4 linked regions of the Drosophila melanogaster genome follow. Changing the gene in region 1 together with any one later gene gives a genetic interaction. Each region holds a gene or a part of one and is shown in the gene's direction. Other genes may lie near its edges. The genes, in order: Rho1, br, RhoGEF2 and cv-c.

Evidence for each region.
Region 2: of Rho1 (region 1) and br, changing one enhances a phenotype caused by changing the other (phenotypic enhancement), as found in Drosophila melanogaster (2 studies listed by BioGRID).
Region 3: of Rho1 (region 1) and RhoGEF2, changing one suppresses a phenotype caused by changing the other (phenotypic suppression), as found in Drosophila melanogaster (2 studies listed by BioGRID).
Region 4: of Rho1 (region 1) and cv-c, changing one suppresses a phenotype caused by changing the other (phenotypic suppression), as found in Drosophila melanogaster (4 studies listed by BioGRID).

The regions. Positions count from the first base shown.
Region 1 is NT_033778.4:16,100,204-16,109,183, forward strand, and holds Rho1 (Rho1), read left to right. Parts: upstream 1-2,483; 5' UTR 2,484-2,689; exon of another isoform or gene 2,690-2,746; intron 2,747-2,893; exon of another isoform or gene 2,894-3,105; intron 3,106-3,262; exon of another isoform or gene 3,263-3,407; 5' UTR 3,408-3,415; coding exon 3,416-3,571; intron 3,572-4,829; coding exon 4,830-4,979; intron 4,980-5,513; coding exon 5,514-5,594; intron 5,595-5,656; coding exon 5,657-5,848; 3' UTR 5,849-7,026; downstream 7,027-8,980. Other genes in the region: CG8414 (uncharacterized protein), read right to left, coding at 1-1,578, 1,632-1,847, 1,907-2,324; Ric (Ras-related protein interacting with calmodulin), read right to left, coding at 8,554-8,980. UniProt on the Drosophila melanogaster protein: Has a role in regulating actin cytoskeletal organization: required during early development for proper execution of morphogenetic movements of individual cells and groups of cells important for the formation of the embryonic body plan.
Region 2 is NC_004354.4:1,609,182-1,616,408, forward strand, and holds the start of br (broad), read left to right. Parts: upstream 1-3,159; 5' UTR 3,160-3,622; intron 3,623-4,475; exon of another isoform or gene 4,476-4,764; intron 4,765-7,227.
Region 3 is NT_033778.4:17,024,207-17,031,068, forward strand, and holds the start of RhoGEF2 (Rho guanine nucleotide exchange factor 2), read left to right. Parts: upstream 1-2,983; 5' UTR 2,984-3,133; intron 3,134-4,466; 5' UTR 4,467-4,789; coding exon 4,790-4,815; intron 4,816-6,862. Other genes in the region: Dark (Death-associated APAF1-related killer), read left to right, coding at 1-1,085, 1,153-1,272, 1,328-1,474, 1,539-2,222.
Region 4 is NT_033777.3:14,477,282-14,484,496, reverse strand, and holds the start of cv-c (crossveinless c), read left to right. Parts: upstream 1-2,783; 5' UTR 2,784-2,917; exon of another isoform or gene 2,918-3,584; 5' UTR 3,585-3,855; intron 3,856-7,215.

The DNA.
Region 1 (8,980 bases):
TTGAATACTTGGCATCGTTCTGAATGTTTTGGACTAGCTGAATAACTGCTCGGGCATACTGCTCTGCGCACAAGACAATGTTGGTGTGGCCCACGACAATGGCATGTTCCGGCTGCCTGTTGTACAGGAAGCCCGGTCCCAGAAGGGGCTCATCAATTACGGTGCAAGAAATAGTCTGGGGTACAAATATTTCCGGCTGACCAATGTCCAGGTCGATGAGCAGCATGGATGGGAATTGACCCAGATTTCGGTTGATGAGGTAACGCAATAAACTAGACTTTCCGACGCCCTTACCACCGGCTACGATTATTCGGCTCGTTGCATGCATTTGTAACTTATTCCAAACCTGCGGAACTTGGAGAGTGCGACTTTGATCGCTCGATTGAATCAGACAGTGCAACAGGGTTTCACTTTGGCCAAATGGTCGATTGGAAGAATTGACAAGTGGGAATACATTTTGCGCCATGTGCTTGCCAAAGGTATCGACGAGCTGCTGGGCACTTGTGTTTCGGTGGAGCAGTACTATTGCATTCGTCTGACGCTGAAAGCTGGTCTTAATCCTGTCTAGCTGGGCGCGTGTAAAGTTCTTGTTGAGTTCTTCCCAATTTACCTCATCTTTTACAGGTTTTTTAGTCTTGGTTGGCGAAATAGATACCCAATTAAGGCCTTTAGGAGAATAAATTGTGATTGCTTCCTGCCTGCGTGCTCTGTAACCATTTACTGATATTTGACCACAGAGTAGAGTCAACACTAGTGTGCCATAAACTTCGAGGTCCTCCTTAATCACGGCCAGCACATGATTGCTCTTCAGACTGTTCTCAAAGACGCTAAGCTCAGTGGGATTCGCTTGCGGATTTCTGTAAAACGGGACATCGCTTGGTTGGAGATAATTTTCCTTTTCTGGTGTTACAACTTCAGGCAGTGATACCTCATCATTCTCTTCGGTTTCAATTGCAACTTCAGACTCCTTCTTTGGGGGCACACTGCTTAAGTTTTTTACAACAATATCCATAACACTTGACTGTTCAATACGTTCTTGCTTTTTTTCCACAGGCGGATCGTCGAAGATTTCCTCTATAATAAGCGGCTCTCTTTGCATACCCACAGGTGGATGATCGAAGAATCCCTCAATGTCAGGTGGCTCATAAGTTGAATCGAGGTCGTCGGTGTCGAAGATATCGCTTCCGAATTCTTCACTATCGCTGTCACTAACATCCTCCATATCGCTATATTCACTGTAGAAATCTCCATCACTATCATAGTCTGCGCTGCTTGTGTCTTCACTGTCAGACTCTTCGCTGTCAAATTCCTCCGATCCAAAGTCATCGCTATCTTCTGGCTCATAATCAATGTCATCTTCGTCGCTGTCAGTTTCTTCCTGTGCACTTTTAAATACCTTAATCTTTCGAACTGTTCCACTGCCATCCCCATCCAACAAAAGAGGTTGGTATTCATCGTGTTCAAAAGGAGGAAGAATATCTGATAACTTGTATTCGGGGCCTTTGCATTTGACCTTAAAAATCTTTGGATCTTTAAGAAATGTCTCGTCTATTTCTTCAACTACATCGTTTTCAGAGTCTAAAAAACATAGTTTAAGTTAAGAAACAAGAGTAATATTAAAAATTCCTTACCACTTTCAATTAAATAATCGTCTTCTTCACTCCAATCATCCAATGAATTCATTTCAATGTCACTTGTTTCCGCTGCAGTACCAATTATCTCTACTACTTTACCATTTTGTACGACCTTCATTGAGCTCTTGTTTCCATTTACCTTATGTTTCTTAGATAAACTTGCTTCTTTTGTTTTATTTGGCGTCTTGACTTTGGTTTTCTTAGGAGCTAATTCTGAAAAATACATATATATTAAAATAAAATGAGGTTGTAATTCTGGATCTAATGCATACCATTTATACTATGAACCTTGGGAATAGGAAGCTTAGCACTTTTGCTTGTTGCTGCAGATTTTTTAGCTGCAACATTTGAGGATTTATTTACAGGATTCTTTTTGGGTAGGGTATTATCCTTTTTAAGCCTCTTCTGGGATGGTGAACTGTCTGGATTCGACACATTATTGGAAAGAGGTCTCTTTGCGCCGGCTGTCTTATTTTTCTTGGATTTTTTGGGCGACTCCATCTGGGCTTTTTGAATCATTGTTTCCGAAATCTTTGCAGGATTGCTGGCCACCTTTGAAATAACTTTTTTCTTTGGAACAGCAGGTGGGTGTTGTGGTTTTTCCGGCTTACGGCGACCAGAGGCTAGTTCTCGCTGTTCGGTGAGCTGGAAGCTCAGTTTCATTTCTTTCAGAATATGTTCGTCAAGCATTCCTTTTCAGTTTTTTGCTGAACTACCAATACTTCCCGGGCCATGCGACCGCAAATTTAAGAAGAAGAGCAAGAATAACATATGTGCGGTGTTACCAGTCGTGGTCGGTCATGGGAATAACGCGCACAGAGTTGCCATCGATGAGAACTATCGATTGGGTTAATAACAGCCCTGCGCTCGAAGGCGTTGGTTGGTCATCGAGCGTTCATCCCGCTACCGAGAAATGAAACGGATGAACATTGTTCATCGTCATTTTGCATGGGAAAAAATCGTCGAGTTCAATTCGAATTTTTGTAATTGCATTAACTTTTATACGATATAGCTAAACGGTAGACGCATAAGAATCAACAAATTTGTGCCATTTTGTAAGCAAATTAAGTGTCGAATTCGTGCTGAGTGTTGTGAAATCACCAATATAAATTGTAAGTGGCCGAAAGAGCAGAAGTGAAAAAATTCCACACAGCACGCACACAAATGCACGCACGCCCAGCCAGAGGCGAACAGACACACGCACACACACACACACACAGCCATACCGAGAGTGGATGATGAGATGTTTTTGGAATAAAGTGTGAGCGGGACGGGCGCGGAGAGAGGAGTTTCCTGGAGTGTTGGAGAGAGGGGTGGAGAAGCGGGCGGCCCTATGACGCGACCAAAATGAAAATGCGAATGCGAAAAACCGTAAAGAAAAACGGGAAAAACTCGGCTAACGGACAATGGACAATGGCCAGATAAGAAAGAACCCCACACTTTATACTATTAGATCGCCGTCCAGCCGCAAGTATGACTAAGTGTGTGCGCGAGCGGGAGAGGGCTATCGGAAAAGAGAGCGAGCGCGCGAGTGTATTTGTGCTGTGTGTCCACCAGTGTGCGTGTGACTGTATGCGAGTGTGTGTGTGGCTTTTTCATTTTGATAATTTTTTGAACAGGCGCTCGTTCAGTTTTCGCGAATATATAAAACAGAACGGCTGACTCGGATTCGGAATCGAAAATTGTATTCGGATTCAGAATCGGACTCGGAATCCTCGGGCATCCGCTGCACTTGCATTGCATCTAGCTACAGTTTGATTTTGCCTTTTGCAGAACTTCCAATGACGACGATTCGCAAGAAATTGGTAATTGTCGGCGACGGTGCCTGCGGTAAAACTTGCCTTCTGATTGTCTTCAGCAAAGATCAGTTCCCCGAGGTCTATGTGCCCACCGTATTCGAGAATTATGTGGCCGACATCGAGGTGGATGGCAAACAGGTAAGCCCCTTTTCCCGGACAGGCCCGCCCCTCCCCTAACTACCCGTCCCGTCCACCACTCTGAATGCCACCCCCAACCGGTGGCTGACCCCCCTCCCCTGATAACCCCACCCTGCCATCCAAGTGATAATCGTCTGATCTCGTTTTATAATTTGTGTGCATTCTCAATTCATTCCGTTTTTCAAGTGCGCGTATCCTCCTTACACTTTCCACCCGCCTCTGTGTGTGTGTGTGTGTGTGTGTGTGTGTGTGCGGGTGTGTGTTCCCATGGGTGTGTGTTTATTGTTCTCTTGTTTGTGCCACCCACAACTTCACCCACACCTTGGTCGTTGTATTTCCTTTTCTTCGCCTGTAAAATGAAATGAGTCAATATCGCCTCATGCCCACAGACGCATCCATAAATAAAGGTGTCTGGAAAAGCAAAAGAAAAATTAAGATCATTTTTGGTTAAGTGGAGTGCAAATTTGGATTTTTCCGAAGAATTCAAAGTTTTGATAGCAGTGATTAAGTCACACTTGGGCACATTTCCCCACACTTACACGCACACATGCTCAACAGAGAGTTGGCAGCACACACACACACACAGAAGTAGTGCTGCTCCCTTCCTTCCGCTCGTTTTCTTTTCTTTTTATTTTGTATTTGTCTTATACAAGTCCGTTGCGCACATACAGTTTAATGCGTTGCGCCGCCCCCCGCTCTTTCTGCTGCTCTCTCGGGCGCTCTCACTCTTACTCTTTCTCCCTGCCTACCTGTACTCTCTTCTAAGGGGGGGGAGCGCTCTCCCGCTCCACCGCGCACTCCCTTACTCTATGGAATGTAATGTGCGTTTTCCATTGGGGCATCAAGTCATGATTTGGCTATATGTTCGTTCATATATTCCATTTGGGATCTACAGTATTTTCAGGCGCTTTTTTTCGAAATAAACACTGTGTGTTTGCCTTTGCTGCGCAATATGGCGGGTTTTCAATTTTCAGTTTCTGTTTGTGTTTCTGTTTGGATAGCGTTTACATACACACAAGTTCACGTCATTCCACTTCGCCTCGCTTCGATGTGATTAATTCGTTTGGCATTTCCGTCAAGTTCCTTGCTCACACTCTCGTACTCGCACTCATGCTATCTTCAACTCGAACTTGTCCCATTCTCCTCCGAGCCCGCATCGCACCGTCCCGTGCCACAAAAAGCCCCATCTATCTATAACCCTGACGACACCGCAACTGCAAGCGTAACTCTCAATCATAATCCGCATCCGATTCTCCAGGTGGAGCTGGCCTTGTGGGATACGGCCGGGCAGGAGGACTACGACAGACTACGACCGCTGAGCTATCCCGACACTGACGTCATACTGATGTGTTTCTCAGTGGATTCACCCGATTCGCTAGAAAATATTCCTGAAAAATGGACCCCAGAGGTGAGTTTAACTGGAATTACAGAACAGTTTCTATCAGACGATCGTAAACAAGTATGGTACTATATATATATATACTATACGGAACTAACAAGTCTAGACAAAATATGTTTTTAATTTTTATGTAATGATGCAAATTTGGAAAAAGTTGAACTTTTAACTCCAGTTAAAATATATTAAACATTTTTGAAGTTATCGAATGCATTTGCTTATGATATGGAATCTTTAAGACTATGCATCTCTGTGTTCTTGTTTATGTCATTGAAGCTATCTGAAAGACTGGTTTTGGTTTAGAACGAGGAAAGTTTAATAGAATTGTTGGTTATTTCTAGTTTAATCACTAAAAATAGTCTGCTATGAGCCAATTTGCTTTGACTTTCTGAATCATTTCCTTACTTCTCAGCCTTTAATTTATAATGATAGATATAGATAAGAAGAAAGTAAGTGGTTCCCAATTACGAATTACTTGTTTTTGCAGTTCGACTATATGGAATCTGATATCAAAATATGATACTAATCCTTACTACATTATTGCAGGTCAAACACTTTTGTCCAAATGTTCCAATCATTTTGGTAGGAAATAAGAAAGATTTGCGAAATGATCCCAACACAATTCGGGTACGTATACGCGCTGTTGAACGAGGTGAACTTGCAGCACTAAACTAAACTTGATTTTACAGGATCTAGCAAAAATGAAGCAGGAGCCGGTGAAGCCGCAGGAGGGTCGCGCCATGGCCGAGAAGATTAATGCCTTTGCCTATTTGGAGTGTTCGGCTAAGTCCAAGGAGGGTGTGCGAGATGTTTTCGAGACGGCAACTAGGGCCGCGCTGCAAGTCAAAAAGAGGAAGAAGACCAGATGCCTTTTGCTCTAAAAGAGCAAATCAACAACATGAAAATCTTTACCACACACACACACAGCAAAAACAACAGCATAAACACACACAAACACACATACACACCTTTTACAACAATAACGAGCTGAACAACAACCACTCAACAACAACATCAAGAACAACCAGAACATCGGATACACGAAGCTGCACCACCACCCAACCAGCAACAAACATGAGCAGAAAACAGAGAGCTTGAGCTAGAAGATCAGCGGAGGAGGGATGCAGCGAGATATAAGGGAAGGCAGCACCAAGTAGAATGTCAAATGCGGATTTGATTTTATATACAGTCTAGTGTAGTTATAAACCGAAGTAAACAACAGTAATAACTCTGGCATTATTATTTGTAAAAACTAGGGCAGAGCAGATCAATCAGTCAGCCACTGCAAGCAAAAAATATATATCGATATATGTAAACATATTCAAGTTGTGTCCGTTTCTGTCCACCCCCTCCTCCTAGATGTATGTTATTATTTCGTTAACTGTGTTGTCAAGTGTAGAGTCGGCTGTGGCTGGACGAGATTGTGTCGTATGCGAGGGTGAGTGAGTCAGGTGAATCAGTGGAATTAGGAACAGAATCGGAAACGGAATCGGATGTTGGATCCCGGGGTCCAAGGAGGTCGTAGGCGTCAAGATGAGAGTTATGTTCCCATTAAATCTATCAAATACAGAGAGACCAGGCCGCCAATAGGAGTTGGAAGCGAAACTACATTACAAGAGCCGAACTAAACACAAAACAAAACAAAACAAAAACGATAAATGTTTATTTAACTAAACGTAAGCCACAAATGAGATGCATTCAGTTTTCGCGTGGGAGATGCTAAGAGGGAAAATTTTTGATGAAGTGAAAAACTATTTCGAGCGCATTAAGCGAGTTTTTAATATTTGTACTTTGCATTAAAACGAGTGGAAAACATAAAAAAAAAAAGATACTACAAAACAACCAAACAACTATATGAAGAGTATTTTATGATTTTATAAAATACGATTATACATATAATTATACTATACAGTACATATGTGTATGTCTCTTTTTTTGTATTTTGTACCGTCAATCGTGTAATTCTCACACAGAAGTTGAAAAACTCGAAGATGCATCAGATACAACCAAACTATATTATACTTATGAATAAACAGTACATTTGATCTACTCTTGGTTTAACTAACTGTTTTCTTATTTGGCCGGGCATCGAATTTTATTAGGCTAAGATAATGGATTTAAATCCGGGGAATACCCGCCCTTTAAAGTCAAAACACTTATCTTTAACGGGGTTAAAAAAATCTTTATTGAGGGTATTGTTTTTGTTTATTTTGTGCTTTTGTATTTAATTTTTTTTTTTACATTTAAAATGTACATAACATTATGAATCAAAATGTTTTGGTTTTTCATCGATTAGGTATTAGGTTTCACAATATTATTCCCGAACAGGTATGTCGTTTTCGAAACAACATGGACACGACACATTGCTTTGAACATCTAGTTCCCAAGCCTTTTCTCTTAAAACGTACTTTTTAATCGCTTAACTTTCGCGGCGAAAGCAATTCTATTATATTTCTACCCGCATTTGATTCGTTTTCGTGTTGGAGCTGTTGTTTTTCTTTTTTTCGTCAGTCGATCTGTTTGGTTCGAACGGTTGCAGGATTCGCAATAACAATTAATTATTAGTAATTATGGGTAGTCCATTCAACTGTTTTTTGGGATCATGTAACAAACAGAGTAATTAAAGCCGTGTTAGTATTTTGTTTCCGGTGATGCAGTTAACATTGATGAGAGGAACTCATGGTGATTGCTTAGAGAACGTGATGTGTGGTTTCTTGTGGTAAAAGTAATCAACAGATTTCGTTAAACTAATAATAAATAAACTTAGGCGTAACACGTGTGTCCTTAACAATATAAACAATAGACTTTTCTCAAACTTAAACAACAAATGCATCGGCTGTCGTGGACTTAAATTATCAATTTGGGCTTGGATCTGAAATGAACGCACATTCTCATTCATATTTCATAATTTGCAATGTTCCCGCGTTTTACATACTTCTTAGGTCGATCGATCGATTTATAATATTAGTATACATTAAATTCAACATTTATTCGATTAGTTAAATGTGTGGCTCGTGTAACGTATGTCATGTGCGTGTATTCTGGGTAAATACGTACATACATAAGTTTAAAAATCCTCCAATTCTCTGCCCTTCGCACCTGGCAATTGGCTTTTGGGTTAATCTCCTGGCTAGGATTCAGAGTTGTTCAGATTGTTAGTGGGGGAAGACTCGACCCCTCGATCTTGCTGAATTTAAATGCTTTTGAGCTTTAGCCAATTGCCACACTTGCTTAATCGCTCTCGTCTAGGAATCAACATTAGTAATATTTACTACATAAACATATGTACGTGCATTGTTAATATGTATCTTTTGGATCGGTGCTTAAACGTATTGATATACTCTATCGCTGATCTACTGCCTCGCTATCCTTTCCGGCCAACAACAAGTACTTTAAATAGTTTCCATAACAAATAATAAATAAACCACTGTGGCCATAACAATTAGTTATCTGCTCCTCGATCGGTTAATTTCTCTTTTGTATGTTGTATCTGATGGGTATGTGCTATATACAAAATATAGCAAACAAAAGTTACTTGGTTTTTGTGGTTAATATTGCACTCATTTCAAGGAATCCGCCTCCTGGTCTAGTTAAGGTTTCGTCTGCGCCGGAAAACCAATGCGAAAATGGATCGGATGCGCCACCAGCGACTTCGTCGCCCCGTGTGAATCTTTTCCGAATTGGAGTCCGTGCCCAGGGCCTTGTGCATTTCCTTGCGTCGAATCTCGCGGACCAACGTGTAGAATGCCTCGTCGATGTAATGACGCAGTGCAGCCGATGTCTCAAAAAACGGGCAGCCGAACTGGTTGGCGAGATTCCGGCCCTCCTCGGTGGTCACGCGTCGCTGCGACTCCAGGTCCACCTTGTTGGCAATCAGAACCAGCGGAATGTCCTCGGACAGGCGGACACGGGTTATTAGTTTCCTGTACTCGGAGGCCTCCTGGAAGCTGTGGCGGTCGGTGACCGAGTAGCATATGATGAAACCTTCGCCGCAACGCATGTATTGGTCCCGC
Region 2 (7,227 bases), on another chromosome or scaffold:
GCAATAAATCAAATCTAGAATCTAATCGAGGTGAAGGCCAGTCAAGAAAATAGGAACACCCAAAAATCAAGTGATAAACCAGTCGATCCGGGGACGAATCAAAATACTATCAAATGCAATCTGAACCAACCGATAGAGTAGCGAGCAACCGCAACAAAAACCCTGACAAACTGTCCCAGTAAAAGTGAGAGTGTGTGGCGTGCGGAGTTCCAGGATCTCAGCCAGAGTCGGATCACCCACCGGAATCCAGAGCAGCTCTAGGGGATCCCATGCACCTGACTCAGCCGAAAATTCAGACATGTAAGTGTGCTCATTTTAGTGGATTCGGTATTTATTGTGGCAGTACATGTACTGCTGCTTAATCTGAAAGTACGGATGCAGGTTGGATTTTTCCATCAAAGGGTCTTTGTTTATGTATTGATCAATTCCACCACCAATGTGCTTCCCTTCCAAATCATATTCGAAACCAGTGTTTCGCGGTATATCCCATTTTCTGGTACATATATAATATATATACGTAGATAACCAAATATTTGTACGCTGAATTCAATGCTAAGCATTTAAAAACACCTCGAGTTTTCATATATGTATATATATTCCAATCGATGGCAAACTTGTACGATACATCATATAGTTGGCATTGCCAATGGTATCCTATGGTATTTGTAATTTTCACGAAGAGGAAGCTAGGAAAATATTGTATGCCGATATTGTTTACGACCTCGTGCACTTGACTATCTTCGTGTGCCAGATACGGGATCTTTCCCAAACCCATTATTTAGATTTGCTGCACTTCCTCCGCGCTCTGATCGCACATTCCCCAGTCATTTCGGATTCGTATTCGTATTCGCATTCGCATTCGTATTTTGTATTTTGTATTCCGAAATGGCACTGGATCGACTGGATCGCGGGCGTTGAACTTGATCAAAGCGCTTCTCGTGTAAACACTGGTGTTTCACGGCTGGCGAGGGCAGTCTCTAATTCTCACTCTCTCTCTCGCTCGCGCCCCATCTATATCGCTGGCGGTTCCGTCGTTGACCTCCTCGCGTATTACGTATACGCCCGATATGCAGGCGAAGAGAGATCGACGTCGGCGGATGGAGATGGCCAGTGCGTGAGCGGGAGCGAGTGACTGCGGGTGACTAACCCACTGCAGTTTCAATTAGAACAAACGACATCGACAAGTTCAATGTGATCATTTCGCCTTCGCAGTCGCTGTTTTCTGCCTTCTGCCTTCGACGTCGGCGTCTACGCCGTCAGGTTGTTGTCGAGGTTGTTGGCTGCCTGCGACTCCGTTTGCGCCGCCTAGAGGTTAATGCCGGTTGTAATTGCAAAGCACCCAACCCGAAACCGGAGACCCAACAAAGGAGCGGAGCTTAGAGCGACTACAGTGGTCCCTGCCCGCGCGACTCGCCTCTTTCTGGCTAATCTGTGACTCGGTGACATTTGCGATGATCTTGAAACAACCATAAACCGAACGAGACGCAGCAATAAAGGCATTATGGGTACGTAGGTAATGTTGTGTATATGGTACGTGTAGATACATTTATACGTTTATGAATCGGCAAGAGGTCACTGCAGACAGGGAAACCTTAACAAAACAACACTCAAGACAATTCTTGAAAAATGCTAACGTGAGTGCGAGACCAGCAGAATTAAAAAACCAAAATCGCCACGCATGAATCTAAAAAATAAAAAAACCAAAAACAGCTCATAAAAATATCGGCGACAACAACAAGGGGATGCAGCAGTAAAATAAAAACGCTGCAAAAACAATTAAATTCGGACAAAAAAAAAAACTGGCAAACAAGATGCAAGTGGCAACAAGTTTCTCAGACTCAGTCGCTCAGTTTCTCCTCAGGGCCAGCAAATCTTCGCTCTGCAGTCTTCGGTCTTAAGTCTTTGTGCGTGCCAGGAGGTGGGGCGGGGGAGCAGGGAAATGGGAATCTGGGTTATGGCAAACAGGGGAGCCATGTAATAAAATGCGGTAATGGTAATGGTAATGGTAACCAAAATATTAAACAACTCTTCACCAACATCAGCAGAAAATGCAATTCCAAAGGGTGACGCAAGGGAGGGAAGGCAGGGGAAGGCCCTAAAAACAGGCCGACTTTGGATTTGGGTTTGCGTTTGGGATGGGGCTCGAAATGTGGGCTACACTTTCAATTGGAACCCTCTGTGGGGGTATGGTGGGAAGGGGGTACAGGCGGGTCGTGAAATCGGGCAATTCCGAGCCGAAGACGCACGACGATATTCTGCCTAAAAAAAAAAACGCTCCGATCGCCGCCGACTTTGTGTGCGTATGTACCGCTTTCTGTATCTTTGGAGTTACATAGGGGGAAAGTTGCATATTCCCCTACCCGTTCCCATTCCCCTTACCCCTCTCGCTCCATATCACTCTATTTACAATTTGCCGCTGCCGATCTGCGGATCTGCCCCAAACATTCGCGTTTGTAATTGCATCGGTGTGTGGGCGGCGCTCGTTGATTCGTTCGCTCGCCGACGACTTTGCATTTCATTTCCCCCAATTTTGTCGGCCTGACAATGAATAAACAAAACTTCTAAATGGGCAATACCAGAAAACACAACAGAATATACGGACAGCAGAAAAAAAAATAATAAAAAAACCACAACCACACACATGGAACCCCCGAAAAAAACGCAATTTTCGCTTGCTCGGCTTCGCCGCCGTCGCATGCGCAGAAAATTTGCTCGTTTTTTTGGCGACTGCGCTGCAGGCAGCGCTGTAAACTGCAGCGATCGGATCGAGTTGATCGCAGAACGCAGATCGCAGATCGCAGATCGCACTGCTGCCGCTGCCGCCGCCGTCGACGTCGCTGCACTCCAAAAAAGCGAAGGAAACACACAATCGCACACGAGAAGTATATAACAAAAAAGCGAGCAAATAAGGCAAAAAGTAAAAAGTAAAAAGCAAGAAGCGAAAAAAGCGAATGAAACATACAGGCGGCATAAGTATATACACACACACACATATATATCACAAACACTGGTGCACAGCGAATTCTCTGATTCAATTGGGCAGACGCACACACTCGCGCACACACCAATACACACGCACACTGGCAGAGGGCAGCGGCACAAGCCCAACACATTTAACTGCATTTTTTCGGAACTCAGTTGAGCTTTTTAATTCGATCGGTTCAGTTACTAAAGTTAGTTCAGCCTAAACGCACAATTTCAATTTCCATTTCTAAGTTTGAGCCCGAATTGAATAGCATTAGTGCCCACCCCACGCCTACCCTCGCACCACCGCACCAACGCACCACAGCAGTATCCAACACACACACGAGGACTGGACAATTCCCTCTGTTCTATTTTTTTGTGTTTTTTGTCAAGTGCACCCAAGCAAAGACCAAAGGACGCAAACCATCTAGTGCGCGATTCGCGCGCGTTTTGAATCAAAAGAATCTAAGAATCCAAGAATAGCTAAATCACTGAATCGCAGAATCAGGAGCGGAAAAAGCGAAAGCCAACCCCAAAAACCCAAAGCCCCAAAAGTTCAAGTGAATAATCAGTGTGCATCCCCAAGTAGTCGACCCAATGAAGCGCCGCCATGAGCAAGGATGCACCTACTGAGCGCAACTACAACCGCACCATCCAGGTAAGGGTTTCCTACATCCCATCCGACCCCATCCGCTTTGCTTTGTAGGGCAAACCGAACGTGCTGGAAGCTCCTTGATCTAGGGGCAGAGGGAGCCTAGCATCCAGATCTATATCGACATACACACACACACACATCCATATTCTCACACACGGTTGCAGGTACAGATACACACTGAAATTTGATTCGGATTCGTGGCCCGATCCATAAGAAGGACATTTGAGTCATCCGATGCAGCTGCCTGCTCTCTCCCTCTCTGCCTTTGGGCTCGGCTCTCCTCATTAGCACTTTGATGAAGAGTCACAAAAGCGGACGGACCGGGCCTAGACCCCTCCCTTCGAACTGTCCAAAAATTTCGGTGCATCTGCATACAAAGGCACACAAAGACGCACAGAGTGTACGGATACAGATACAGATACAGATGCAGCTACATATACATATACAGATACAGACACATATACTGTTACAGATACAGATGCACTGCAGGAAGCAGGGCAGCACAGTAGCCTCAGTCGCCTCTTTCAGCCCCGTTTCAGCTTCTCCACCCCTGGACTCTGCGCTGCATTGTTCCACTTCTACACTTCCACACTTCCCCACTTCCCCACTTCCCCACTTGTCCGCTACCCGCCACTCCTCGCTTTTTCGGCTGCAGTCTGTCAGTCAGACTGAGGCTTCGTGAAGCTCACGGCCAAGGCGAAGGCAGCTGAGGATCTGCACTCGGCCGAACACGAAGGCCGGTTGGGCAGGGTTCGGGAACGATCGAAAGCCAGCCCGAAACGGCGGAACTGCAGTTTGCTGTTCAGCGTCGCACTGAGCAAACGTCGTGTGGCAGCTCATCGCCAATTGCGAATTGCAAACTGCAAACTGAGTACCGTAAATCGCTCGCGCAAAGTGCAAGTCGCGCTGAATTCGCAAGTTCACATAATATCGGCATCCGCATATCCGCATATCTGTATATCTGCACATCCGCAAGCAGCTTGCTTCCACGCCAATTTTGTTTTCGTTGCGTTTATATTTTTTTTTCTGTTGATGTTTCTCGTTATATACATAGTATCCTTTTAGCAACCCACTCAGGCTTTTGCTGATTCTATTTCGATCGCAATCGGTCTCAGGAATCAATCTCAGGATTAGCTCTACGGCAGGTAAGTCACGTGAGGAGCGGTGGTGTTTCTGAAACTTTTGCTTTCAATGGGTTTGCTTCTGGAACTGGGCCAACAGCGAGACTCAAATGGCCAGACAGGCACGCAGTCAAGCGGTTTGGTGACAGGGTCCCCACTACTCCTGCTGCTTCTCCTGCTCCACCCACCGATCTGTAGGAAAGGTGGTAACGCCAGCTTCTTCTTTTTGTTCTCCCAGTTGTTAGGGCGACCCAGACCCAGACCGAGACCCAGACGAGTCACTCAAACGACAACAACACTCCGCCGTCCCCATTTCTATCCCCATCCACAACCATCATCAGCCATTCCCATTCCCCATCTGCAAGCCACAAAGACCGGCACCCATACACTCGCACACTGGCGCACTCACACGGACATGGGCACAGGCACAGTCACAGCAAGGTGACGTAATGGCAACTACTCCACTAACACATTTTTCTGCATTCCTGCAACGCGAGGAAGAGGAGGAAAAGAAGCGGTGGGGGCGGGGTGGGAAAGTCGCGCGACGAGAGAAAAACTGAATGAAAATTGCAGGCAGCCAACGAAGCGTGCCTAGCAAAAAGGAAGAGCGAAAAAAGCATAAAACGACAGAAACTAGAGACGCAGCCAGACTACGCCACAGCCAGAGCCACAGTCAGAGCCAGGAGGGGCTGGGGGTGTGGGGAACACACGTGGGACGTGCTGTGAAGCTCGGGATGCGAATGTGGTGGCTGGTGGCTGTCGGATAGCTGGATGCTAGGAAAACAGAGGCGGCGGAGACAGAGGAGACGGAGGAGATGGAGATGGAGGAGACTCGCCAAAGTGGTGGCCCCGACTAGACGCTGTCTGCGTACTGTGTCTGTGCCTGTGCCTGTGTCAGTGTCTGTGTATTAGGATGTCTGCGTGTGCGTGCTAGCCATCTGTGTGCGACTGGCCGACATTCAAGGTTGTCGGCGCATAACTTGTTGTTGCCGCACTGCAATTGTTGCTGCCACAGATTGTAAATGCTGCAAATGCAGTGCGGCAAGGGCACAAGTGCCCACTCCAGTGCCAGCTTGAGTTCCAGGAAGCTTATGAGTGGAGCAACAGTAAAAGGACATCCGAACCGGGGTAACGGCCTGGGCGACCCACTTGGGGCTAGTGGTAATCAGAGGCTCAGAGACAGAAGCGGGCAGTTAGAGAAACTGCACAACAGACTAGCAACCAGTAGCACTTCCGTTAGCCTTGAAGCCCAATCAACTGGAATCAACTGGAAACTGCGGCCAATTGAGAGCCGCATCGCCACAAGTGGACAAAGCACGCAGACGAGCAGCAGCAGCTCCCCAGAGTTTCAGTTGCCAGCTCTCCACTCACACTCACATGACTCATGTTCTAGCAACGGAGCACTTGTTTGGGTGCAACAGCAGCCACAAATGCATCCGTCGCAGTAACAAATAGGGATCACGATGATGATCATGATGAGCACGATCAGCGTAATGATCGTGTCATTCAAGGCCGCCGCAAATTGCGAGCGGTGAGTCGAGGAGTTGCAAAATAAACACAGAAAACATCAGACACAAACGCGAATGCGAAGAGCCAACAGACGAGGACAGGGACATACAAAGTGCATAGTTATCGCTATAGACATATAGACACATGGACATACATATAGGCGAGTTCCCAAGTTCTCGGAAACGGTTACTCCAAGGCCAAAAGCCGGATAGACAAACAAATGGGACAGGCACAAAGGCTAGGAGATAACTCTTCTCCAGTTTTCCCCTTTTGCCTCTGCCTCTGTCTCTGTCACCCTCGCGTTCTTCGTTCTCCGTTCTCGATTCTCCGCGCTCAATTCTCAATTCTCCTTTCTTCTGCGACCTGCCTCTGCTTCATTCGCGATGTTTCTATTTCTGCCCCGGCACAGGAGACAGCCAATTGAAGATGGAAGACAAGTACGCCAAAGATTTTGAAAATACTTAATCTCAAATTTGGAGTAATTTTTAAAGCATCTTGAAGAAATCATTTCTTACTATTTTATGAGTAGGATTTTTAGTCCTAAAAGTACATACGTCATTTAATTACTTTTGAACAATACATTTCCTTATCCCAGAGCAATTCTCGTTCGGAGTGCACAATTCTTCACTTTGTTTTCTTCTGCACTTAGCACTGCAACTCCCCTTTCTTCTGCTCTGCGCTTTCCCTGCTGCTTCTTCCTGCTCGGCTTGCTCAGTCAGTCAGTTGGTCATGAGTGTCATGTTCATAGTTGTGGGGTACTAGGACGTCACGGGGAATGGGATTGGAAATGGGTAGGGGTATGGTCATGTGTATGGGAATGGGTTGGGCTTCTTCTTCGATGCACTGCCAACGGTCGGATCGCTGGTTAATTTTTTCGTTTATTTCCTGCACTTTCGTTGACAGTTTTGTGTTTTTCACTTGTGCTTCTTGTTCTTCTACTGTGTACTTTTTCAAGCGAAGAGGTTCTCAGCTTTCATT
Region 3 (6,862 bases), 920 kb from region 1:
CGATGCAGTCGGGAATACGGTGTTTCGTTCAGGTTTTAAAGCGATATTACGTGGTCTGCACCTCAAATTGCACACTTACTGTATGGGATTTGACCAACGGTTCCAGCAATACGCTGGAACTACATGTTTTTAATGTCGAAAACGACACGCCGTTGGCCTTAGATGTATTTGACGAAAGGAGTAAGACCGCCACCGTGTTGCTGATTTTTAAGTACAGCGTATGGCGGCTCAATTTTTTGCCAGGTCTTTCGGTTAGTTTGCAATCGGAGGCAGTGCAACTGCCAGAAGGAAGTTTCATCACCTGCGGAAAGCGTTCGACTGACGGACGTTACCTACTGCTGGGCACGTCCGAGGGACTTATTGTGTATGATCTGAAAATCTCTGATCCCGTGCTACGCAGCAATGTCAGCGAACATATAGAGTGTGTGGATATATACGAGCTGTTTGATCCTGTCTATAAGTACATTGTTTTGTGCGGCGCTAAGGGAAAACAGGTGGTCCATGTGCACACATTGCGCTCTGTAAGCGGCTCGAATTCACATCAAAACAGGGAAATCGCCTGGGTTCACAGTGCAGATGAGATAAGCGTGATGACAAAGGCTTGCTTGGAGCCTAATGTCTATCTGCGTTCTCTGATGGACATGACCAGAGAGCGGACGCAACTTCTGGCTGTGGACTCCAAGGAGCGCATTCACCTAATTAAACCGGCCATTTCTAGAATTTCCGAATGGTCCACAATCACACCCACTCATGCTGCCAGTAACTGTAAGATAAATGCCATATCCGCCTTTAACGACGAACAGATTTTCGTTGGCTATGTGGACGGAGTGATAATAGATGTTATTCATGATACAGCGCTACCTCAGCAGTTTATAGAGGAGCCCATTGATTACCTCAAACAGGTCAGTCCCAACATTCTGGTGGCGTCGGCACACAGTGCCCAGAAGACTGTGATATTCCAGCTGGAAAAGATAGATCCGCTGCAACCCAATGACCAGTGGCCATTGATGATGGATGTTAGTACCAAGTACGCGTCCTTGCAGGAAGGACAGTATATCATTTTGTTTTCCGACCACGGAGTCTGTGTGAGTGTTCTTAATTGAAGTTTATGCGAGTAAAAGTGCAGTATTTGATTTCAATATTTACCAACAGCATCTGGATATAGCTAACCCATCTGCATTCGTGAAACCAAAGGATTCGGAGGAATACATTGTCGGCTTTGATCTAAAGAACAGTCTTCTCTTTCTGGCCTACGAAAACAACATCATCGATGTGGGTTTGCTAAACATAATATCATTAAACAATTATCAATTATTTCCAACGACAGGTATTCCGTTTAATATTCAGCTGTAACCAACTAAGGTACGAACAGATTTGCGAAGAAGAGATCGCCCAGAAGGCCAAGATCAGCTATTTGGTAGCCACGGATGATGGTACCATGTTGGCTATGGGTTTCGAAAATGGCACTTTAGAGGTATACATACGTCTTACAAATTCGTTTCATAATTATTTCCTGCTAATTATACATTTCCCAACAGCTCTTTGCCGTTGAAAACAGAAAAGTTCAACTGATCTACAGCATTGAAGAGGTCCACGAGCACTGCATCCGGCAATTGCTATTCTCGCCATGTAAGTTGCTCCTGATCAGCTGCGCGGAGCAGCTGTGCTTCTGGAATGTGACGCACATGCGCAACAATCAATTGGAGCGCGAGCAAAAACGGCGGCGCAGTCGACGCCATAAGCAGCACAGTGTTACACAAGAGGATGCTGTGGATGCGGCGCCCATTGCAGCGGACATCGATGTAGATGTGACATTCGTTGCCGACGAGTTTCATCCGGTGAACCGAGGGACTGCGGAACTGTGGCGGAATAAGCGCGGCAATGCCATCCGTCCGGAACTCCTGGCCTGCGTTAAATTTGTGGGAAATGAAGCTCGTCAGTTCTTCACAGACGCCCACTTCTCCCACTTTTATGCCATAGATGACGAGGGTGTCTACTACCATCTGCAGTTGCTGGAGTTAAGCAGACTTCAACCTCCACCTGACCCAGTTACGTTGGATATTGCCAATCAGTATGAAGACTTAAAAAATCTTCGAATTCTCGACAGCCCACTTATGCAGGATTCGGATAGCGAGGGTGCTGATGTAGTTGGCAACCTGGTTCTGGAGAAGAACGGCGGAGTGGCGAGGGCGACACCAATTCTGGAGGAGGCCAGTTCATGACGCCAGAAGTGCGTCCCTAGGCGGCGCACGAAACAGGAAAGTCCAAACTACAACATGGCATTTATAGGATTACTGCTCTACTACCTGATGGTTTTGCTCTTCTACCTCCTGGGTCCGGATTTGTCCTAGGCAAACATTAGTTGTTGGCGCTTACATTTGCGAATGTATGCAGCTAACCAAGTATGATATCTCAGAGGGCGGTGGGTGCGTTGCCCTGCCTTTGTTTGTCAACGCGAGTAACCGCCACCAAATAAACGACATTTCACGAAAAACACAGAACGCGGTTTTGTTGTCTGCTCTTTGTGCTGTCCGTATGTATGTATGCATGCATGTCTGTGTGGGTGGTTGTGCTGTGCGTTTGTTTTGATTTCTGCCAGGCACGCCAGATCAAGTGTTGCAAAAGCATTGGTCCCGGGACAGTGCTGCTAAGTTCGTGTATGGATATCAGTGTTGCGGTCCAATAAATAGGTACGTATCTGGATTGTGGCTCGTCTACTTCTAAGCTGACTTAAATTAATAAAAAGGCTTTGGCCTCAATGTTTGCATTTTGGTTTTATTAAAAAGTTCAAGTCAAGTTTGGGCTATAATTTTTATAAGCTAAGATTTACACACATTGCCTTAATGAACACACGTACGAAATATATTAAGAAGCATTTAAAACAATGAATAAAAACCAATAGCTAACTTGTATCATCGGCAAGGTACCTTGTTTGTACCAGTTTTAGGTACTGAATTCCGTACCGAACTAAAGCCCTTTTCAACACTGGCAGATATGCGCTCTTTCTCGTCATTTCATTCCAATTTTCAAGCTGAAAAGAAAAGAACGTCGTGTGCGTGTTGATGGCGCGATAAGTGAAAAAAATAAAAACATTTTTCGTGTCTTTATGGAATACAATACGAGTGCGTTTTAAGTAAGTGCGTGGCGAAAGTGGCGAAGCAGAGAAAGAATGATGCGCAACTCGCTACGCGTGAGCTCACTGCAGCAACAAAAGCAATAAATAAAAAAAGTGACTACATGCATTCCGCGCACCCACACACTGGCGTAAAATTCATACATATTTAAGTGCATTTGTGCACGCTCGTCAATGGCAAAATCGCGAGCTTGCAACTGCCAGGAAATATTGTACGCAAATTTGTCTAAAAATGATCTCTAACCCATCGCACGCAGACAGACGCAGCGCGCTTATAGGGGCATCGAATGTATGACGGCATATGTGTATTTATTTTCCACACTCGCCCATCGGTGGCAGTGAGTGTTAGTGAGCGACGCGCGTGTGTGAGTGCGTCGAGTGCTGAACTCTTGAACTGCAGTACATGGCTTTAATTCGATTTTAGGGATGTGCGGCTTGACGGAGCGGGAAGCGATCGAATTAATGAGTAAATGATAAACAACTGGACGCTTTCCGAGGCTTCGAATCCCTTGTTTTTCTCTAACAAGTGGCTTGCGGCAGCCATATTGTTTTGCCTTTGCGTTTGCGGCGATGATCGCACTCGCACCCCCACACACACTCAGTCAGTCAGTCAGTCCAGTTTGTGTGTATACATATTTATTCAATTAAATATTTGCGTTTAATTAAAAAGGAGTGAAACTGCAAGAATTGATTTATTTAGGTAAACAAACAGTGAGATCAGTGCAAATTCAAAGAAAGAGAGGGAGTCTTTGTTTTTCTTTTTGGGTTTTCGTCACGCTAATTGAACACAAGCGATTAATTGAACAATCAGCTGTTCTAATGGAAAATACGCAAATCTGGAAAGGATCGCTGGAATTTTCCTGCTTGTGTGTCCGCTCTGACCCATTAGTATAGCATTAGTATTTCAATTTTTCGGCCAAAAACTTGTTTTCCCCCAACCCCAAGTCGTCATCCATTAAATGTTTCGTGAAAACTAGTCAGCAAAAAGCACAACAATAAAACCAGCAACAACTGCTGCCTGCGAGTGACAGAGAAAGCAAGAGATTACGAGAGAGAGTGAGAGAGAACGAGCGCGGCGAGAGAGCCATAGGCATTGGAATATGTATGGCTTGCGCGTGAGTGTGTGGGTGTGCTGTTCAGTTATCTGTGTTGGAATAAAAACAATGAAATTGCAAGGAGATTGCTGCCTGCATTTGAACCCTCTCCGATCCGCCCCATCCCCCATAACCCTTCACCACCCACTCAAAAAAAAAAAAAAAAAATGCAAACAAATATTTTAATGTACATGCATTAATGCCCGAAATGTCTTCAAACGAATTTTGTGTGCCCACAGGTTTAAGTGAAAAGTAGCAGTGCAAAATATATATACACATATCAAAACCCATTGGAATAGTGCAACCAAAAAATCATAAAACAGAACTAAAGCAACGAAAATCGAGGCAATTAAATCACTTCTGGATTCATTTCGGCCCGTTTTTACTAGCTAATTTAAAAATAGCTGCCGAAAGCATTCCGCAACCACTTCTGGTGACTGGCCCCACACCAATGCGAACAATACTCCACGGGATCCTCCGACTTCGAGTGGCTTACGCATGCCTTTGAATTTGCATCTTCGCACCCGCACAGCAGCCAGCAAAAGCCATCGCAGGAAACCCTATGGATGACCCATCAATCAAAAAACGGTGAGTTCAACTGCTCCACTGTCTCCATGCGCTACAATTTCCCCACTTTCCACTTTCCCACTGGTTAAATTGCTCGCATTGCGATAAGAATTTATCTTTTGTCCTCGACAGACTTAATAATTGTTATTTTCGTTCTTATTCGCAAGCAACAGTCGATTATACACATACTAATAAATATACCAAATATACATCATAGAGGCAGGTTTAATGCAAATTTCAAAGGCAGTGTCAACTGGTTGTGGGAATTGAATAATTTTAATGAAATCTCGAAGAAGAAGAAGATATTAGTCACACAAAAAGTTAAAGCTCTTATTATATCAAATCGGAAGAATTTTTACTCATAAAAGAAGCTTTCACACATTCTTGACCTAAGTGCTTATATTAACATATTAGGGCTACCCTTAAGAACTAGCAACTTATGTAAGATCGTTGCCTAAATAGTGTAGCAGCCTTTAAGAATCCTCGAAATTATATTAAAATAATAGGTATTTTACTACATTTTAAATAGTTCTTAAGCCAGTTACAGATGATTTAACTGTGCATTAGATCACCGATCAACTTTTGTAAGCAATTACTAATTCATTTGACCCGTGATTAGTCAGCAAACGTTGTTTGAAAATAGCCAATTGACGAGGTGAAACTTTGCGCCGTCTCACAGTTCTGAAACGCACTGTGTTTGCTGATTGTTTATACCAATAGTTCCCCCAAGCTTGGGGTTGTTTTTGTGCGGTTTCGACTGCCAAACGGATGACTTAATACATATATACGCTCACCAACTTAGGGAGCGGCCAGTTTTCACATTTTACCATTTATTTCTTTTATTGCCACCTAGGGAAGTTTTAGCCCAAATAGATTGGCGAAACCAGTGACTTTCTAAGCATGCTTGTGTGTGCATTTGGTGGTGGTGTCTTAACCACGAATTGTATAATATACCTATGCAAAATGATTTAAATCTATTAACAGCTCACCACCACTGGTGTTGTCGTCTGATTTGTGGGCCTTAACAGGTTTTATGCCAGCCCGTCAACGGGCTGCAGCAAGATTTCCTCAAAATTAGGCAGCTAAATTTAGACAGAAAGAGAATTCACTTGGATCAAACGGAGAGACATGCTATTGACATGGGCCAATCAGTCAAAAAAGTTAATGTAAACATTTGATTTTTGGAGGTCTTGCCTGCCCGCCCGGCTGTTATGGAAATAACTCATCATAATGATGAATTCACCAGGCGGGAAATGAGCTTTTATTATATTCCGGTATATGAACGGGTCCGAAGGTGGTACACACTGTATACTGGGACATACATATGTACATATGTATGTTTATCCATTCCATTCACATGCAAAATGATCAAATAAACGGCAATTAAAGTGTATCTATTCTTCTGGCTGATTTAATTTTAGCTCAATTAAAAGAGACCCACCAGCGACGACAAATCGCTTGGCTTTGGCTTTGGCCGTGACTTTCGTTACATGTTTGTCGCATTCACAGCGAGGTCTTGATTAGCCACTAATCTAGCTATCTGCTCTTTAAAACCCAGCATACCACATGGGAATCGTTGGCGAAGAGCAGAAGCAGTTCCGCCATGAAATTATTCAGCATTGATTACCTCTCATAGATGATTGAGCTGGCAATCCGCTGGTTCTATTCAATGCCTGAAGTCTAGTATTTTAAAGGGTATACAAACTAACTAGCTAATCAACCATCATGGTTTAGTAAAGGAACAATAAAAATGAATTAATTGTAACCACAGAGACGGTAGTCACCAAATCAGTGTGTATAAAAAGGCGATAAAAGGTTTTACAAGATTAGTAAAATGGTATTGGTGACAACTAATCTGAGTAAATGAAGATAAAGATTTGATAGATAACGACGGATAGAAAATTAGTCACTCAAAGCGAAGACTTTAAAACAATGAAATATCCACAGCGCTATTTCATATTGAAAAAATTGTTGCTTTTCTGCTGCCAGATATCAAGATGGAGTTCATATTATGCGGGCAGGGTTTTAATTACACTTGAGCTTACTGAATTAATAATAATTATTATTA
Region 4 (7,215 bases), on another chromosome or scaffold:
GGCTCATCAATAAATAATTTGCGGCCAATAGAAATGCAGTGCGTGGGGTGGCGCTTAGATTAATGAAGGCGTCGCGATTAGAATCAATTTGAATTAATGAACATTTATAGCGGCTTTTGGAGCTTGTTTGCATACAAACACGCGCAGCGGGTTGTTTCGGCCTGGCGAAAACAAAACAAATAAAAAAAAAAACGAACAATAAAAACAAAAGACTTAGGCAACGAACTTTGGGCGGCAACGGGTAGTGTTGAGATTTTGGCCAAAATGTTGGACCGCCCGGCTGGTCGACTTGCTTATTAATTTCACATGCCTTGGCCATAATGAAAGGCGATTTTATATGGCCCGGCCGCCTGCCGTCGTTTATAATCAAGTTAAATGCGCGCTCGTCCATAAAAACTCGACTTATCAGCCAAACGGCAAGGCCAACAAATGGCGCAAATGCATTTAGGGGTGTGCGGCAAAATAGGGGGGGGGGGTATTCCGCCCTATCTTCTGCCTATGCCACAAAATCTGCATATTGCACCGTTTGGAGACAGTGCGACCATTAACAGAATGATGTCGCTGAGTGAGTGCAAGAGCGAAGCGAGCATTGCCTTTTTTATGGCACTTTTCACTCGCTTCGGTTTCGGTTTGGTTTTAACTCGGTGCGGCGCATTGCATTATGGAAAATCCCATACAACTTTATTGGCCAGCTTCCCGCTGTGTGCAAATATATAACTCTGTTTATCGCATTTCATACGGCATTATTTATGCCAAAGTGAAAAGTACACGTACAGCGAGAAAATATAACAGGAAAACAACTGCTTTGTAAGTATACAAATTCAAAAGATTGCTTTAAAATTTATGTTTTTATATGATTATTAATAGCATAATAATGTTGAAGAAAAATATAATAATTGACTTCATATTCTAATTAGAGAAAGTGCTGGACTAGGTGCATTTTTTGCAGTGCACTGTCTAAGACAAATTTCACCCGATGCCATTGGCATTGAAAACTATTCAAAATATTTCCGAAAATATCTGCGTGGCATCTTTTTGTTTCTCAATATTTTTGCTTTTGATGTGTTTACCTTTCGTTGGAAATCAAGGGGGCCAGACGCTATCGATCAAGCATGCAGCACATCACACGGCATGGAGTTTCTGAATTGGAATCTGGAGTTCATGAAGGGACTGGGATTCATTCGGAGATTGGGGAGCTCCTCACACGCTCGCTTAGATTTCAACACAATGGGCAGTTTCGATTTCAAAGCCGGCAAGAGAACCCGAGCACGTAGATCGGGTCGGGAATGGTTATGGGTAAATGGGTATATCTCTCTGCGACGTTGATGCGCACCTTCGATAAGGATGAGACCGACCGGCGAACACACCTCAAAACGTTATGAAATGCGGAGGGAACGAGAAGAGAAAACGCAAGAGAAAAGCCAATAGAATGGAAAAATAAGGAGATGGCACAAAAACAGGAAAGAGTTGACACGGCTAATCCTGACGAATTGTTGTTAGCTGTCTTGGTTCATTCAACAATTTGGTCGGAACAAGAGTTCGTTCTCCTCCATAAGAATGATTTATAATTTCACGTGCTTTATTCTTGGACCTTACAAACGTCTTCGGTTTTAATATTTATTAACTAAGCACCACCAATTAGCTGCAACTAATTAACTGCCAGTTAGAGGTGTTTATATGATTTTTTTCCTCTTATCTTATACTCCTACAAATTATTAATGGTATTCAAAAGGCTCATTATGCCATTAACTTTATGGTTTTCAAACTGTGGTCATATCTGTATTTTTAACTAAATTACAGACTTGAAGGATTTTAAATTAAAAGTTTAGCTATCTAATTAGATAATTATTCATTTACACAAATCGTAGAACTCTGCTAACCGGTTATTGAGTATTTTATTGCACTTGAAACGTAAGTTGCTTTAAATCATGATTATATTATGATTAGTAATATATAATTTGTTCTTCTGACTAGGAACATTAGTTTTGTTTTAGTAGGTTACAAAAGTAAAGTGATTAAATAGTCCACAGCTCACTTGTGAGTTTTTCATTATCATTATATACAGTTAGTTTGTCTCGCTTTCGTTTTGGTTCACACAATTTTATGGGTGAAAAAGTGTTAAGCCAATGCAGGCGCTAATCAAATTGAGACAACGAAAGTGTTAAGTCGACTTCCAGGAATCGGGCTATTAAATGAGCGTTGGGCCATAAATCTGCAGATAAGACAATGCCCCACTGATAAGAACTAAGGGAGATGCCAGTCGATAAAGCCTGAAAGAGGCTGCACAAAGATGAGGCCCGGGTCATAAAATCAGAAACCCAAACACACTAAATAAGCCATAGAGAAGACTAACATGGGATTTTATCACCGCTTGTTAGTGTAAATTTACAAACACATTCGAATGGGTGTGTAAGAGCTACAAATACATCCATATGCTTGGAGTTTTTCCAACTGTTTTTACTTTCAATAAACAATTCTAGGGGATTTCCTCTCGAACTGCAACATGCTTGAGGTCGTTTGAGATCGCTCCGATCGGCTCGAATTGAGCTGTTGGCGCAGTTTGAGCGCAACATGTTGCTCTCTTCATAATTCTTGCTGTTAGCTCGCTCTGTTAACCGGTAATCGCGGGTCTCGCGCATGTTAACTCCATGTGAACAGCAAGCGAACGTTTTGAGTTCCCATAGAAATAGCGTCTGTTAACCGCTAAAACGCTGTATCTTAACATTTCCATTGAAAACAAAGCGGGTAAGCAGGGTGATCCAACCACGAGTTTGTTGGATACAACAGTTGGGTTTCCACCTCGACCGGGAAAAGTCGGGCAAATTTAAAGCGCTCCTCTGTTATTCAAATTTTTTAAAAACATACTGAATCCAAAAAACCGTTGTTTATTGGCAGTTCTCAGGTTTTTACGAAAAAGGTGAACATTGAATTTAGGATCCGAAAAAACGTGCGGGTCAAGAGATGTAAATATATTGCAAAATACTGCATCAAGTGTTAATAATCATTTTCAGAAACATAAGCTAAAAAACTGTGAGTGCGTGACATCGTGTGTTTTGGATACGTTTTATGAATGAGCGCGGGTGTGAACGAATTTTTCGGAGTCAACAACAAATAACGAACGCGATAAACAGAGGCACACTCACACAACCGCGATTAAAAAGGCACTCTCCATTAAACAATAAAGAAATCTCTTGTTTTTCGAAAAGCAAATAGAAAATACGAAAATGTAGCGCGGAAATTGCAGTGCCAAAGAAAACAAACGCATCGTTTGTTGGGCTTGAATTTCGCACGGTTTTAACACTTCCCATAATAAAAAATAAACATCTTTCGAAACCAGAAAAGTAAAAATAAAAACTGCGTGCAGAAAAATATATAAAATTAAATAGTGCATAAAAATCGGTTTTCTTTGCGGTTCGGTTCCGTTTTTGTTTATTTGTAGTGTGCGTGTGTTTCTGTTTCCCCCTTTCTATCTCTATCCCTGTCTCTTTCTCTGCCTCACCGCCCGTCTCTTTCTCTCTTTCGAGTAAGAGAACGCGTGCTTTTGTTTTCGATTACGTTTACTACATTTTTTGTACGCCCCATAGAAAAAAACATGACGAAATGTTGTTGTTGAAAACGAGAAATAAATACAAGTGATTCAGAAAAATAAAAAAATAAACGAAACAACGAAAATAAAAGAGAAATTACACATCTGATTTATACGAAAAGAAAAGTTCTGTGAAGCAATATACGAAAGTAAAATTCTATTTGGTGTTTATAGAATCTCCGATGGTGTTGTGAAATCAAAGAAATAAAGAAAACCCAAAGCTACAGATACTCTCTTCGCGAGCAGCAACCGCAAACGCATCTAAAAAGGTAAATAGAGCTTCGGGACCCCATGTCGCTTATCTTCGGGGTAGGATAAACAATCCATCCAGCTTATCTGCAGGTCCATAAAGATCTGCAGATCTCGAGAAATCCAGACGTCGCTTGTTTATGGGTGGCTTCGGGGCTTCCTAGAACGAAACGTCAGAGTTTTAGATACATCTTGTGATTGTCGCCGGGTTTGCCACTTACTTTCACTCCCCAAAATTTACCTGAGTTTCTCGGTTTTCTAGTCTTTGACTTTGTGGTACAACTTTATCTTGTCAGCTGCGAACTGAAAAAGATAGTGATAACCTAAATAGTATATGTTTACAGTTAGTTAGTCGCTGGCATAATCTACGCGACGCGTTCGAGTTATCTGCGATCGTTTTTATTGGCCTTATACGAGTTCTGATCGGCTTTCTTTACCATTTCCGCTGCTGTTTGAATTGTCAGCGCTTTATTTTGATTCATAAATCATAATCGCTATGTATTGTAGTTTGTTTACACTCTGGTCGAGTGCTGCTTTTTCCCTCCAGCGTTTGTTTTTAATTCATGGGAATAATCACCGAAAAGTGCACAAACAATCCGAATCCGATTTGCATACTTATTGAGAACTCAGCCAAATGGCAGGCGTAGCATTTCCGGTTCTAAAATGCGTCATCGGAGTATGTCGATCGTTTTAACCCCCGAGAAACTGAAACTGGCGACCCGTTTTGTCTACCATAACAACAACTCTTGATACGGCCCGCCCTTTATTATTTTACAGCATAGCCACCTTATATATAGAAACTCGTTTTTCGTTGTTTCTGCCTTTGTTGTTTATACTCCACATACGTACCGATAAGTATGTAAATAAGTTCACAGCGAAACACTTGTGCTGGGTGCTTGATAAAATAGCAAATTTCAGGTAAATAAAACTGAAACAATATTTCGACTGGCCTGGCGTTCTTCATCTTCTGGTTGGGAAAGACCCAAAAAAATTGATAATTCAATGTTTATAAGTTACATGCAGTTAGGATTTTTAATATTATTTCATTTATTTAGATATGAAATTCAAAACATAAACAAAATAAACAAGACATCTCCCATCCTAAAACATCTTCCGTAAAAAACTCGCTTCTGATTTTTAATTAAACAAAACCATGTTACACCCAATCCAGCAGCTTAGAAGCAAATCTCTGCCCAGATTTTCCCTGATTTAGTAAAATCGCTTTCCCCTTGTTCGGCAGCTCGCAAACATTTATCAGGCGGGGCAGGTTCATCAATTTCGTGTGTGATAAATGTCGTACAAGAATTTACACAAATATGTATGCATGTCTCTATGTCTCTGCTCCAGCTGCCGGGTACAAGCTGAGTTGACAAAATGATTTGTTTGGGCGCCCCATGTTTTGTCTTATTGTCGCCAACCCCTCACCAGAGCATCTTCATGATCACCGATCGCTGAGCGCCACCCTGAACTTAAGGCCAGAATCTCGAATCTCGATGCAGATCTCATCTACGGACTGGAGTAACGAAACAGCCACTAATTCCAAACAATGTAAGGCATTATTTATTTTTAACTGAGGTCATCAGCGTAGACATCGTCTATTACAAAAAACGCCCGCCTCTCTCTAGAATTTTTCATCTCATCGTGCTGGGAGCTCCGGTTCTCCGGTTCTACGATTCCCCAGTTCTCAGTGCTCCATTCTCTGTTCTCAGTTTTCCGATCGCTACACAGAAACACAATATGATCGGTTTTAAATCTGATATTATGATTAAATTCAAGCATAAGGAGGAAAATTTTGAAATCTTATAAGATCTATCTGCTCTTTTAAGTAAAAATTTCTTAATTACATAAAGACATGAATAATATTTTACTGAGCACTTCTTTTTTGTGTTATTATTATTATTGTATTAAAACATCGATTTTTTATGTGTACGGTTTTGAGTTCTATAGTGTTGTTCTTATTTCAAACTTAATGTGCTCGGTGCTGTTTTTTGTTCAGCTGTTGAACTCGAACTCTCACCAAATTATGCCACACACACAAACACCCAAACTGATAGTGTGAGAAAGAGAGGGGTAGCATGGCGGGGGAAAGAGAAGCCGAGCAGTTTTAGTTGGGTTTACAAAGATCCAAGACCAAAGAGCCAAGACCCAATGCCAGCGGGGCCAGCAAACATTATTTGAAATATTTATGCTTGACTTTTGCGCCTCAATGACTTTTGAATTGCCTTGCCTTTGGCTGCCAGTTTCCACACACACAGCACACACTCACACAACCGCACTACCACACGTGTGCATAAATGTATCTGGATTTTATGTCGGTTCTTAAAGATACGCGCCGATCTTTGTGTATATTTTTACATGCCGGCGCGCACATATGTTGCATCAATGGATGTTTGGGATCTAAGATTCCTAGCCCCACCGGAGAAAACTACACAAACATTAAAGACACATTAACCTGCTTTTAATTTGTCAATATTAGCTGGTCAAAGTCGTTGGTCCGCGCAGAAGAAAGGCCTTTCTCGGGTTCTCAGGCCACACTTTTCATTTCTTTCGGCCATCGTTGGAAAGTGAGGCAACAACTCAGGCCAGCTGAGAAGAAAAAGGCAAAAAGGCAATAACTCTGCACGACAGACCCAGCATGTCTGAATGTCTGAAATGTTGACCTTTTCACAGCTGGAACCATCTCTCACATCATATCGTTTGTGGGGTTCTTTTCGGTCTGGCCGTACAGCATATTAGCCCATTGCTCGGCCGCTTGTCAATTTCTGTCAGTTGCTTGTCAAAAAATTTGTTTGGTTGTAAAAAATGCAGTGAAAACGTTTACAGACCACAGATCACCACCAAAAATAGGAAAACAATCTGAAAAACCGTACACGATTTTCTTGTAAGCCATCCAGAAAATGATTGACGAACCGCACTGACGAGCGCTGACTAACTTACATCTTCGTACAATGTGAATACTTATAGTGCACACTGTGAATTCCCAGTCTCTGGCTGCATAATTAACCTTTTGGCCGGACTTTTGAGAAATGTATGTACATATGTGCTGTAGTACTACACCCGGTCTTTTTGCGTTTGTTTACAGCGTAATTTGTTGATAAATAAATGTGAAAATGCAAACAAATCGGGTGAACAACAACCACCGGGCTACGCAATCGACGTCCGCTGACTAATGGCTCCCCAACTTATCTAGCCCACTCCCTGTTTTTTAAGGTAGTGAGGTATAATATATAATGGAAGGGCTCTGTTCTGTTGGACACGTATGTAGGAACACAAAATATTGGGTTGATTTCTTTTCGGGTATTCCCTTTATTGCCATAACTTGACATTTTGCCAATTTGTCTCGAACTGACACGTCTGCTGCGTAGGTTAGGTGGCTATTT